Linked DNA regions of Arabidopsis thaliana. The protein of the gene in region 2 purifies or fractionates together with the protein of the main gene of each other region. This does not show direct contact. Each region holds a gene or a part of one and is shown on either strand. Other genes may lie near its edges.

Region 1 (5,938 bases), on a different chromosome or scaffold from region 2:
CCTTGAATTCGAGGCTTTTCAGTTAAAATTGACGAGACATATGAGGAATCAACGGCTGACTCTCGTAAATTGTGAGATTATGGAAATCAGTTTGAAATGATTTTTCTACTTTATCCTAAGAAAAATCAAACGAAATTACATGCAATCAAACGATTTAACAATGATAAACAAGCATTTGATCATAAGAACCGAGAAGATTGACAAAAATAAACATAAAGACAATTATATTAAGTACTAGACTACTAGTATAGAGAGCACATAGATCACAAGATTTAGTATTATTCTGTTTGTCAAAACACTATACACTTAACACTTTACTTATCATCTAAAATCAATAAACTTTCATTTACAATCGAAAACTTGCATTTGCAATCTAGACTATTTCTTGGACCTTTTAAAAAAGTTATTTATTTCCATAAAATGTAAGAAATTCTATAAATAGGCTCTGTTATCCATACTATTATACATATGCATCTAATTTTATTTAAAATGTAACTAAAACAGTTATTGATAAATACATTATATCACAAAATAATCAAATGCAAAACCTACAGAAATCAGTAAAAATAAAATAAAATAATAAATATAATCCACAGAAGGATGAAACAAGTGGCGATTCCGACAGAAGCCACTCTCTTCTCAGCCTCATGTAACCTTAAAAACTGTGAGTTTCTCTAACATAAACCAACCAACACTTGCCACGTGCCCAGTCCCATTACTCCTCCTCACACACCTCTTGAGTCCGTTAAAGGCCGCTCCTTTTATGTTATCCACACGACCCATCGTTTTGGCTCTGACTCTATATTCACTATAATAATATTAATACACGAGTTCATAGATTTTGAAGCTAATAAATCCACAGAGATTTTCTCTCTTTGATCACAATTCAATCATACACTCTATTCTCATCTCTTACTCAGGTCAAAACTCTCTAAAGTTGGAATCTTGATTTGGTTTTTAAGGTAAGATTAGCTCAAAATGAGTTTAGGTGCTTTGATGGAAGAGAAGAGAAGAGCAACAACTTCATCTTCTTCTTCTCAGGTACATATGTCAAATGATATAGATTGGCAAATGCTTGATAAATCGAGGTTTTTCTTCCTCGGTGCTGCTCTTTTCTCCGGTGTATCCACTGCTCTTTACCCTATTGTAGTTCTCAAAACAAGGCAACAAGTCTCTCCGACTCGTGTCTCATGTGCCAACATTTCTCTGGCTATTGCTAGACTTGAAGGTCTTAAAGGGTTTTACAAGGGTTTTGGAACATCTTTGCTTGGAACCATCCCGGCTCGTGCTCTCTATATGACTGCTCTAGAGATTACAAAGAGTAGTGTAGGTCAAGCAACTGTTAGGTTAGGATTGTCTGATACTACGTCTTTGGCTGTTGCTAATGGTGCAGCTGGTTTGACCTCGGCTGTGGCTGCCCAGACTGTCTGGACTCCGATTGATATTGTGAGTCAAGGGCTTATGGTTCAAGGCGATGTCTCCTTGAGTAAGCATCTTCCTGGAGTGATGAACTCTTGCAGATACAGAAATGGGTTTGATGCTTTTAGAAAGATTCTTTACACAGATGGACCAAGAGGGTTCTACAGAGGATTTGGGATCTCGATCTTGACTTACGCACCTTCCAACGCGGTTTGGTGGGCGTCTTATTCTTTGGCTCAAAAATCAATTTGGTCTCGATACAAGCACTCCTACAACCACAAGGAAGATGCTGGTGGCTCAGTGGTGGTTCAAGCGTTGAGTGCAGCTACAGCAAGCGGTTGCTCGGCTTTAGTAACTATGCCAGTAGACACAATCAAGACGCGGTTGCAAGTCTTAGACGCAGAAGAGAACGGGAGGAGACGAGCAATGACAGTGATGCAGTCAGTGAAGAGCTTGATGAAGGAAGGAGGAGTTGGTGCTTGTTACAGAGGATTAGGACCAAGATGGGTCTCAATGTCGATGTCCGCAACAACGATGATCACAACCTACGAGTTCTTGAAGCGCCTAGCAACAAAGAAGCAGAAATGATATATTGATAAAACCTTGTTGTGTTAAGACTAACCAAAATACTTTTGATTGAGTTTGAAGAATGTTAATAAACAAACATAAAACAGAGCAAAAGATCATTACCCCTAAACAAAGAGTTATCCCTTCAATCGCCAAAATGTAACAATGAAAAAACTAAAATGTCTTCCTAAATTACCAAATCCATATGACAAATCTGATCTAAACCAAACAGTTAAGCTGTTCATCATCATATGCAAAGGTAGATACACAGAAGCGAGCGGTCAACAAATTTAGGAACGAGCCCTTTTGTTGCTGCAAGAAGGGCACTTGTATTGCTTGATGTGCTCAGCTCTTGCTGGTGTTATCTTAACACACTTTCCATGAAACCACATCTCACAGAGGTCACAGCAAATCCAGAACTCATCAGCTGCATAGCTCTCACCACATGCTCCACACTGTGTTTCACCTTGCTCATCCTCATCCTCCTCTTCCACACCTTCCTCTTCCTCCTCCTCATCATCTTTCGGCTCCGGCTTTGAGAACTTGGCACGGGATTCAGATCCTCGCTGTAACGTGAGACAAAGAAACCAGAATTAGTACAAGGATTAAACTGTAGAGAAGAAGTACAGTGGAAAACAAAGTCTCTACCTTGGAGCTTGATTTGGATCTGTTGCTGCTGTTGTTGGAAACAGAGGACTTATCTTTTCCTTGTTTCTTAGCAGTGCCAGCTACAACCTCAAAGATTGTTGGGAGGTCATTCACCATATTGAAAAGCCTCTTCCTGTAACAAATGTGAAAGAACATAAATCACAGAGAGCTACATAAACGGTGAAGGAGTAGAACAATGAGTGACTGAGAGGCTTGCATCTATATACCACCAAGGAACATAGATGTAAGAAGATTAGACTTAAAGAGGAGAAGGATATACATACCTATCAGCTTTGTCAAATCCAAACCTGGCTCCAAAAAAGAAAGCAACAGCAAGAAGCCAAGCATCACTGTGGACAGCAACAAGGGACAACCAATCCTTTTCCGCCATCCCGTCTCTGGCAAAATTGATACCCAAGACAGGCTCTGGGAGCTCAGGAGGAACCTCTTCAGCTGGCAAATTCACTTCCCAGTGCTCATTTGGATGTCCGTAAAGGCAAAGGTTCTCCTTTTCTATAATCACAAAAGGAAAATGATGACAATTGTTCAAAAAACCTTAAATTAAAACCAAGTCAAACAAAAAATCAACACTTTGACTCCGCTCAAACTCTACACTGCAATTCAAATAAATCTGACAAAATCACAATTTTATCCACAAAACAGAGACAATAGAATCTATGAACCCTAAATGCTTCACTGAAACAACAACAATCAGATTGAAACAAACCACAACGAAGCAAATTCAAAAAACCAAACTTTCGCCGGCGAGAATCAATCTCGAAGGAACAACAACACTCACAAGGATCACAAACAAATTTTTTCTTTAGTTGAAAACACAATCGAACCAAGTCAAACAAAAATCAATACTTTCGACACTGGAGCGCAATTCAAATAAATCTAAACAAAATCATAAACAGAAAAGAGAGAGAGAGAGAGACTATGAACCCTAAATGCTTCACTGAAACAACAACACTCAGATTAAAACAGAGCAAAACATAGAAAAATTCAAAAAACACAAATAAAAATCAAAACTTTCGTTAATTCAAATCAAATCTCAAAGGAACAACAACACTCACCGGGATCACAAAGTCGGAAAAACTCCTGAACATCTGCACACACAAAAGGGTAATCTCAAAATTCAGTTTTTTTCCGGTGACAAAACTGAGATAGTAATAAGAAGAAAGAAAAAACAAATTGTTACCAGTGGTTAAAGCCTTAATCATGCCAGCTCTACGACCCTTAAAATCCCTAAACACCTCTTCAACAGTGCGTGGATTGTACGCGCCACCTGCTTCCATCTTTCTTACAGAACAAACAGCTTCGAAGGAGACAAGACAAGAGTGAAAGAGAGAGAGAGAGAGAGACAAGTATTTGACCGGCGCTGAGAGAATTTGGGTTTGCGAGAGAAAGAAAGATGTGAAAGAGAAAAAGGGCGGACCCAAAAACAATTAAGCGGATTTAATAAGATGAGGAGGAGTCCGCAAAATGAATCTGATGAGGAGGAGAGCACGATAAGTTTTATCTTTCATCCTCTTAGATCTTGACGCGTATCTCCTGATTTCTGTTGTTGTATCTATGGATATGTTTTTAATTGGATTGGCTTATTTTTCGGGTAATAGATGTTTATCAAGCTTGAAATTAAGAGTTTTGTGTTAATGATACATTAAATTGTAATGGTTGTAAGATTGCAGAAAGTTTTATTAGATACTCTGTTTTTTCGAAACAAATGTTCGGTAATCTGGTATCTGCGAAATAAATTTGACCGTTTTTCTGTTTTTCGCGGTAAATGTTCGGTAATCTGGTAACTCAGAAATAAATTTGACCGTTTTCTATATTTTCATTCGCGCTCTTTTTGAACATGGTAAGGGATACATACTTTATTTTAGATTAGTGAGAGGTTTCGGTAAGTGTTTATCAAATATTCAGTTTTTCGCTTTAAATTTCGGTAATCTGATATTTAAGAAATAAGTTTGACTTTGTTCTACATTTTTTGGTTTCGTTTTGTCTTTCGCGCCAATTTTTGGTATTCTGGTATCTGAGAAATAAGTTTGACTGTTAATTTTATTTCTTCACTCGAGGTCTAGTCTTTTTTTTAAAAGAGTAATAATAGTCTGGTTTTGATTAATGAGAGCTTTTAAATAGTCTTACTAGTTACTAGATACCTTTTTCGCACCAAATTTTTGGTGATCTGGTGTTTGATAAATAAGTTCAATCTCTTCTCTTTTTCAAGGTCTTTTTGATTTTTTAATAAGTACTATGCATTATTAATATTTTGGAAAAAAGTTTATTCAAAATACTTGGTTCTTTCGTGTCAATCATCCAAATATATCGATAACCCATATACAATTTGATAGATCGAACTATACACTAGGAATAAAATTGTAGTTTCATGGATTTCATGAATTTATGAATCATATCTAATTCCAATATAGTAAGATTTTGAAGTAGTGTTATCTATAAAATCATGATTCAGTCCTCAATTTTGATATTTTATGTGGATAGAAAATCTTAACTTGTAGGTAATTTGGTGAGAGTGAGACTGATAAAAGAGAATAAGAACTATGTTTTACTGAACAAAGTACTTAAAGCAATGAATATATTTTTGTTTTCTAAATTGAATTGAAGAGACACGGAGAGAGTAGTAATGTTGATAGATTCAAATGTCAAACACCTCCTCTAGAATCCTTAATCTTTGTATGAGGTACACTTCAAGATCTTCAAGAATTCTTTTGATTTTTTTTCTAAATCAAATGCAACGTTAAATTTGACTCTAGAAAATGGGCTTGAAGTCTCCAAGCTAAACTCATTACATGTCACACAGACACGCAAGATAGTGATCTGATGGCTTTATTTGCCCAAACTGGATACAAAATCCCAATACCATCAATAAGTTCTGTAATAATGCAAGCAAGACGATAAGCGCATTGAACTATATTGCATTCAAAGATTGTGATATGCATCAGATGTCATTGAATATTTCTCAATTTGATCTTTTGATAAAGATCCCATGAAATCATTGACGGTTGCATAAAAATTCTTAATGTTTTCGCTAGTTATTATTACATTCACAATTAACAAAATTCAAAATTTATATAAATCGGCTCATCTTCCACTTTTCCAATTACTCATATGTATATGATTTTTCCACAATTTGAATTAAGGTAACTTCTATTATCGTCTTGATATAATTCTCGCTTATCAAACTTTATATTTGGAAAATAACATATTCAATTGGACGAGAAAGATACATATGTGAAACTTTCACTAATCTTAAAGAAAAAACATTAAAATTTGGGATTGCATA
Region 2 (7,764 bases):
GTAGTCTCCTGACTAAAATGAGCAGCTGTAGTAGCACTGCGGACTTATCCTTGTCTGAAGTCTTTTGTTTGACACTCGCCGGCCTTATAGGCCATGGTGATCATGTCTCTAGATATCTGTGGAAAGATGAGGCGGATGAGTGGGAGATTTCTCCAACTTTAGCATCATATATAAGTGGAGAGCTTGTGAATGACATGGATAATAAAGATCTTCCAGTTCTCACATGCTCAGAGCGAATGTGGTATAAGTTGTTGGTCGGTGCTGTGCAAGAGAAAAGAGCTATGGAGGCCAAATCAGAACTCCAGAGTGCATGCTATGCTACAGGTGTTAAGGATGGAAATAGTGGTCTCACTGCCCAAAAGGCGTTGCAGGGGTTATTCTGTAATGAAAACCTTGTTGTTTCAGTATCTAAAATGGATCTTGAGAGGAATAGAAATGCTTGGAATGTCTTGAACTTGTCGCAAAACTATTGTCTACCCTCTCTTAATGATGAGAGTCTGTTGAGTGCTGTTTTTGAAGAATCTGGCATGGCAGATGCTGGACTGAGTGGAACAAACTACAAATTTGGATTCCAATTTGGTAGATCTGAATATATTTCTTCTCAGGATGACACAAACCTTCTAGAAACATTATTTCCCTTTCCCACTTTGCTTCCGTCATTCCAGGTACTTTGATACTGATGATTTATGATTATTTTATGGCACTTTTCTTCGATTTTCTCTCATTTGCAATAGTTTCTGTTTGCTTATCTTGAAATCTTTGTGATCAACAAAAAAGCCGAAGCTCCATCTGTCAGAATTCTTACCTTTCCAAAAGAATAGTACACTTCCTTCAAGAGTTCTCAGCTGGTTGCTAAAGGCAGAGCCAATGGATACTCGACTTCCCGTTGTAATTATGCAGGAATGCTTCACAATTTACATAAGGAGGCAGGTAGGGTGATGTAATCTTCAACATTGCTGCTTGTGCCTATGGCATGCATACTCTTGTTACCTTCTGAAAGTTGTGTATGTTTTAGGTGGACTACATTGGCAAAGTGATTTTGTCAAAACTAATGAATGACTGGAAATTGATGCACGAACTTGCTGTATTGCGCGCCATTTACTTGCTAGGTTCAGGTGCGTTTTATGTGCTCAACTGTTTTGGCAATATGGTTGTATCTGAAATCTTAATAACCCCTTAAAACTTTCAGGGGACCTGCTGCAGCATTTTCTGACTGTCATTTTCGATAGGCTGGGCAAGGGAGAGTCATCAAATGATGATTTTGAGTTGAACATAATACTTCAGGTAACCAGGTTTGGTGTATTTTTAAGAGACACTGCTCTCATCTTTATAGTTGTTATCACTTCTAAAATGATTCCGCTTGTTAATTGTTTGCTTATGTATCCGTGTTCTGTTGCCGTATATGTGTTCATACACCAAACTTATTTCTAAAGTGTAATGGTCTTCTACAGGAATCAATTAGAAATTCAGCTGATGCCATGCTGTTAAGCAGTCCTGATTCATTGGTGGTATCTATTTCCAGAGAAGACAGAGACAAAGATGATAAGGGTGACATAATACCCCTTTCTTCAACTCGTAAAAGCCGCGTTAACAGCTTTGGAATAGATTGTCTCGAGTCTCTCAAATTCACATACAAGGTCTAGAGAAACAACTTAGTCTTCCATCCAATCCGTACTGGTATATCTCATAGGCCACATCTATGTGTATTTGAAGAGCTGAACTGTTTTCTTTTTTAAGGTGCCATGGCCACTTGAGCTTATTGCCAATAGTGAGGCCATTAAGAAGTATAACCAGGTAACCCTTTCTCATCCAGCTATTTTTGTGGTAAACAGTTTGTTGTTCCTCTATGTGGTAATTATTTAATTGAAAACAGGTGATGGGATTTTTGTTGAAGGTCAAGCGAGCAAAATATGTGCTTGATAAAGCACGAAGGTGGATGTGGAAGGTCTTTGATATCTCTCAAACTCATTTCTTTCTTCTTAGACTGTATCCCGTGACTTCCAAATCCAGTTTGAAAGAGCCTAATCAGTCTTTTGATCTATACATATAAATATAAAGGGAATCATAAGAATGTGGTTCAGTTTGATAAACTTGATGACTTTGGTGTTTGTGTATGATAGGGTAAAGGCTCTGCAACAAAAATCCGCAAGCACCACTGGTTACTAGAACAAAAGCTCCTCAACTTTGTGGATGCTTTTCATCAATACGTAATGGACAGGGTATTGTCCAATGCTAAATGATTGGTTATAATTACAGTATCATTTTTCGTTGGAGTAATATAAGTTTGTGCTAGAGTTGTGGCAAAATCGAAAGCTGATCACATGGCTTGAGTAAGATGAAAAGCTTGCCATGCTTAACTGTATTTTGTAAGCAGGTATATCACACTGCGTGGCGTGAACTGTGTGAAGCGATGGTAAAAGCAGGGTCTCTGGATGAGGTCATATATGTACATGAAACCTACTTGTTATCGATTCAGCGGCAATGCTTTGTGGTTCAAGAAAAGCTGGTAATGGACCATGAAGGCATTAAGCGACCTCTTAAAATGCATAGTATATATTTGAAGTTGTAGGCTTCTAAAAACCTAGTGTTTGGTGGTTTTTGTATAGTGGGCAATCATCGCAAGTCGGATCAACATGATTCTCGGTTTAGCTCTAGAATTCTACTCAATACAACAGACACTGAGCAGCGGTGGAGCAGTTTCAGCCATCAAGGCTAGATGCGAAATGGAAATAGACCGTATAGAGAAACAATTTGAGGACTGTATTGCTTTCCTTCTCAGAGTAAGTAAATCGAAAACTGTGTACTTGTTGTATTGTGAAGCTATATATAATTGATTAATGCTTAATGGGGGATGGAACTTGCAGGTATTATCTTCGAAGCTGAATGTGGGACACTTCCCTCATTTGGCTGATTTGGTGACCAGAATCAATTACAATTATCACTACATGTCAGATACTGGAAGCTTGATGACTACTTCTGGAGCAGAGACCAACTCATCCAGACCTTGGACTGCCAAATCTGATGTATGAATGGACCGGGAAATTATCGCAATGTTGGATTGTCGCAACACTATCACACGTAATTGTTCAAGCCTCATGCTTTTCTTGTGTCTGGTATCTAATTTCCTGATTATGTATTTTCTGTTTATAAAAGTTCACTGTTTTGAATTAGACATTGTACAAAACTGCTATCAAGGTTTAAAAAAAAAAAAACATTGTTAACATTCTTAACAAGAAATCATCAAAGTTTAAAATCTAATCGTGACCCTACTATGCATAGTACATATATTAAGCATTAACCAATACGACAAAAGAAAAAAAAAAGCATTAACCAAAAACAAAAAGACGATAATTAAGGTTATAGGTTATGAGTTTATTACGAAAAGCCCATTTATGGATGCAATTAAGCAAACCTTGTTGGAGGACAAAATGGTCAAAAGAAAGAAAACGTAAAACCCTAAAACATTTCTTTAACACTCGACTTGTCTCATAAACCCTTTGTGTTTGTAGTCTCTCTACTCTCTAGATCCCATCCCATTTCTTGATCAGCCTCGCGCATTGTGTGCTTACACGTAATCCTCTAGCTTCTTTCCTCGGTATTCCTTGTCTAATTCGAACTTCTCTCTTTTTTTTTCTGGGTCCGATCGTTTCAGTGAAAGGCGTAACCTTTCCTTCGAATCTGATAGCATTGCAAAATGATAATGTTAGTCTGATTTTTGTTGGGTGTGTGTCTTTTGATTGAAAGAGCAGGTAATTTCCAGAGAGATTTTCAACAGAGGAAGCATGTTCGCTCTTTCCAAGGTTTTACGAAGGTAAGGATCTCTGATTTTGTTCGAAAAACTGTTAGGGATGTAGCTATGTATGTGTCTTCAATGGCAGTGAAACAGATTTCGAGTAAAATTTGAAATTTTGAGCATGGTTTTGATTTGCCATTAACATATCTGTGTTGAGTTGGTATTAGCACACTTTTCCAACTTTTGTTTTTGTGTGTGAATTTTACAGAACGCAGAGACTCCGACTGGGAGCTTGTTCTGCTGTGTTTTCAAAAGATATACAATTAGGAGGAGAAAGGAGCTTTGATTCCAATTCGATTGCTTCTACTAAACGTGAAGCTGTGCCAAGATTTTACGAGATCTCCTCTTTGAGTAATCGTGCTCTTTCCTCCAGTGCTGGCACTAAAAGTGATCAAGAGGAAGACGACCTCGAAGACGGTTTCTCAGAACTGGAAGGTTCAAAGTCTGGCCAAGGTTCAACTAGTAGTGATGAAGATGAGGGAAAGCTCTCCGCTGATGAAGAAGAAGAAGAAGAACTAGACCTCATTGAAACCGACGTTAGTAGAAAAACAGTTGAAAAGAAACAATCTGAGCTATTTAAGACCATTGTCTCCGCACCCGGTCTGTCTATAGGTAGTGCTCTTGATAAATGGGTGGAAGAAGGAAATGAGATCACTCGAGTTGAGATTGCTAAGGCAATGCTCCAGCTGCGCAGGCGTCGCATGTATGGAAGAGCGTTACAGGTAGTTCTCTTCTTACTCGTGATTTAACTTTCTGTATCTGAACTGGTTCAAGTGCTTACCTTGGTTTCTTTTTTCTGTTTGTGTAGATGTCAGAATGGTTGGAAGCAAATAAGAAAATTGAAATGACTGAGAGAGATTATGCTTCTCGGTTAGATCTGACAGTTAAGATTCGTGGTTTAGAAAAGGGAGAAGCTTGTATGCAGAAGATCCCAAAATCTTTTAAAGGGGAAGTGCTTTACCGTACCCTCTTGGCGAATTGTGTTGCTGCTGGCAATGTGAAGAAATCCGAACTGGTGTTTAACAAAATGAAGGACTTGGGATTCCCTCTCTCTGGATTTACTTGTGATCAGATGCTTCTGCTCCACAAGAGGATCGACAGGAAGAAAATTGCTGATGTACTATTGCTCATGGAGAAAGAAAATATCAAGCCAAGTCTTCTCACTTACAAAATCCTGATTGATGTCAAAGGTGCAACAAATGACATAAGTGGTATGGAGCAAATTCTGGAGACAATGAAAGATGAAGGTGTTGAACTGGACTTCCAGACGCAAGCTCTCACTGCTAGACACTATTCGGGAGCTGGCCTTAAAGATAAAGCCGAGAAAGTCTTGAAAGAGATGGAAGGTGAAAGCTTAGAGGCAAATCGCCGGGCATTCAAAGATTTGCTCTCCATCTATGCCTCTCTTGGGAGAGAAGATGAAGTGAAAAGAATATGGAAGATCTGTGAATCAAAGCCCTACTTTGAGGAATCCCTTGCTGCAATCCAAGCTTTTGGAAAGCTCAATAAAGTGCAAGAAGCAGAGGCGATTTTTGAGAAGATTGTGAAGATGGACAGAAGAGCTTCTTCTAGTACTTACTCCGTTCTCTTGAGGGTTTACGTAGATCACAAGATGCTCTCAAAGGGTAAGGATCTGGTTAAACGAATGGCTGAGAGCGGTTGCAGGATCGAGGCAACGACATGGGATGCACTCATCAAGCTCTATGTGGAAGCTGGAGAAGTTGAAAAGGCTGATTCTTTGCTGGACAAGGCATCAAAACAGAGCCATACAAAACTGATGATGAACTCCTTCATGTATATCATGGACGAGTACTCAAAACGGGGAGATGTTCATAACACAGAGAAGATATTCCTAAAAATGAGGGAAGCTGGGTATACATCTCGGCTTAGGCAGTTCCAAGCCCTCATGCAGGCTTACATAAACGCCAAATCTCCTGCATATGGAATGCGAGATAGATTGAAGGCGGATAATATCTTTCCAAACAAATCCATGGCTGCACAGTTGGCTCAAGGTGATCCATTTAAGAAGACAGCTATCTCTGATATTCTGGATTGAGTAGTCTCTCTCCCTACACTTTTCTTCTATCTGCTTGCAAGAAGTATCTCATTTGTCGTCCTAACGTTTAGTTTGAGAGAGTAACGTTAAGTTTAAGAACCTGCTTAGTTGCTGTGTTTTTAATGTTTCTATTCGGTTCTTTGGTGATCACACTTCAGAGACCTTCAAGTTTCATGACATTTAGGAGTACACGAAGAAAATAACGTTTTCAAACTGCGCGTATTCTACCGCAAAATTTTACAAAGATTTAGCCACTCTTCTCTTAAGTGGAAAATAAACAGAATTATTCCAAACCATTAAAAACTCTGATGAGAAAAACAGAGAATGTTACAATAACTCTGCTTATAATGAATACAGACTTACTAAGACCTCAATCACCCCAACTTCTTTCCTTTTGGGGCAGACAAAAAAAACTCGCAAACACTAATCGATTGTGAGCTAAGAAGACAACTAGAAGTGATCACTCAGTCACTCACTCCTCACTAAGTACAGTGATCACTCAGTCACTCAGTCCTCACTAAATACAAGTCTGCTTATGAATGGGCACATGGCTGCAAGAAGTGCCTTGGGACACTCCTCATGTGGCAGATGTCCGCATCCTGAGATTGCTACTAGCCTCTGTTTGTTGACATGTATAATGTTAGTTACGTATCAACAGAGTTTAGGTGTTTAATTAGATATAGAGAGGGAGGACTTACAGAGTTTTCGAGTTTTGAAGCCATGACTTGGGAGGACTTGAGGGGAACAAGTGCGTCTTCGGCTCCAGCAACGACTAATACTGGTAAGTTTTCCACTGCCTTGAGAAGTGACAATGCATTTTGAGTTGGAAGCACCATCTCGGATGAGAGTCTGCCTATCTCGTGAAGTGCCTCATCCCAGCCTTCCACATGAAGTGGTGCCTTGTATAGCCTTAAGACATCGGTTGTCATCTTGGCAGGATCATACCAAGCTCTGCGATTCACCACCTGAGCTATTTCAGTGCGTAAAAGCGGACGAACAAGGTGTTTCTTTCCTAGTGATGTGTGCAGAAGTATTCTTGCAAAAGCTGGCACTACTTCCCTCGTCAAGCTTACATTAAGCAAAACCACTCCTTTGACTTTGATGGGATCTTTTGTTTCTAGCAATCTTTGTGCAGCCTTGAGAGCAAGCAAACCTCCATCATCATGGCCAACCAAGACTACAGAAGCAAATCCCATTTCGTGGCAAAAGGCAAGAAGCATGTCTACCTGAAAGCATCAACAGATCCTTGAGTTTTAACATTTCTTTCTAAGAGCAAAGACAAAAAGCTCTCATAAGTAATAAACATAGTCCGGAATTGAACAGAACTTCACCTGATTATCCAGAGTGTAAGGGTTTGGCATCTCTCTTTCTTCCAAATCCTTTTTATGAGGTCTGGCGGTTAATCCCCAACCAGGCCTATCAAATGCAGTGACAACACAGCCAAGTTGATGGGCAAGAGAACTCATCACATGTCTCCAAGAAAACACTCCTCCGCCAAATCCATGGACCAACACTACACCAAATTGGCCGTTTCCACCAACATCTTGCTGTTCCGTGGCACCAAAATTGGACACATTGATGCCATCCTCTCGGCACGATTCTTCCTGAATATCTTTGAAAAGACGAGGAGAAGTAGGAAGACCATCAAGGAGAGGGTCGTGCAAGGAAGAAGAATTGTTAAACAGACTGCTGTAGCTCCTATGGTGGTGATGGTTGAGCTTGTTTCTCGTGACCATGCTCAATATATTCCTGTCAAGCTTCAACCTTCCCACCATCGCCTCTGGCATATTAAGCATAGAGTTGGCTTCAACTGAGGAGGAGATAGAGTGGCGAGGAGAAGCAGGTGTGCAAATCTTGTAATGCACAGTGAGCCCTCTGACTGTAATGAATAAGCTGTCAAGATCAGCAAGCAATC

Evidence for each region.
Region 1: the proteins of PPR596 (region 2) and AL4 fractionate together in Arabidopsis thaliana (co-fractionation; one large-scale study listed by BioGRID). This does not show direct contact.

The regions. Positions count from the first base shown.
Region 1 is NC_003076.8:9,156,290-9,162,227, forward strand, and holds AL4 (alfin-like 4), read right to left. Parts: upstream 4,205-5,938; 5' UTR 3,933-4,204; coding exon 3,836-3,932; intron 3,744-3,835; coding exon 3,711-3,743; intron 3,148-3,710; coding exon 2,919-3,147; intron 2,768-2,918; coding exon 2,635-2,767; intron 2,553-2,634; coding exon 2,277-2,552; 3' UTR 2,029-2,276; downstream 1-2,028. Other genes in the region: AT5G26200 (Mitochondrial substrate carrier family protein), read left to right, coding at 979-2,007. UniProt on the Arabidopsis thaliana protein: Histone-binding component that specifically recognizes H3 tails trimethylated on 'Lys-4' (H3K4me3), which mark transcription start sites of virtually all active genes.
Region 2 is NC_003070.9:30,177,483-30,185,246, forward strand, and holds PPR596 (PENTATRICOPEPTIDE REPEAT 596), read left to right. Parts: upstream 1-3,424; 5' UTR 3,425-3,595; intron 3,596-3,643; exon of another isoform or gene 3,644-3,749; 5' UTR 3,750-3,782; coding exon 3,783-3,811; intron 3,812-4,001; coding exon 4,002-4,515; intron 4,516-4,601; coding exon 4,602-5,849; 3' UTR 5,850-6,079; downstream 6,080-7,764. Other genes in the region: emb1427 (Spc97 / Spc98 family of spindle pole body (SBP) component), read left to right, coding at 1-665, 778-930, 1,016-1,115, 1,190-1,284, 1,452-1,637, 1,738-1,794, 1,874-1,945, 2,121-2,219 and 3 more; AT1G80280 (alpha/beta-Hydrolases superfamily protein), read right to left, coding at 6,357-6,467, 6,548-7,075, 7,181-7,764.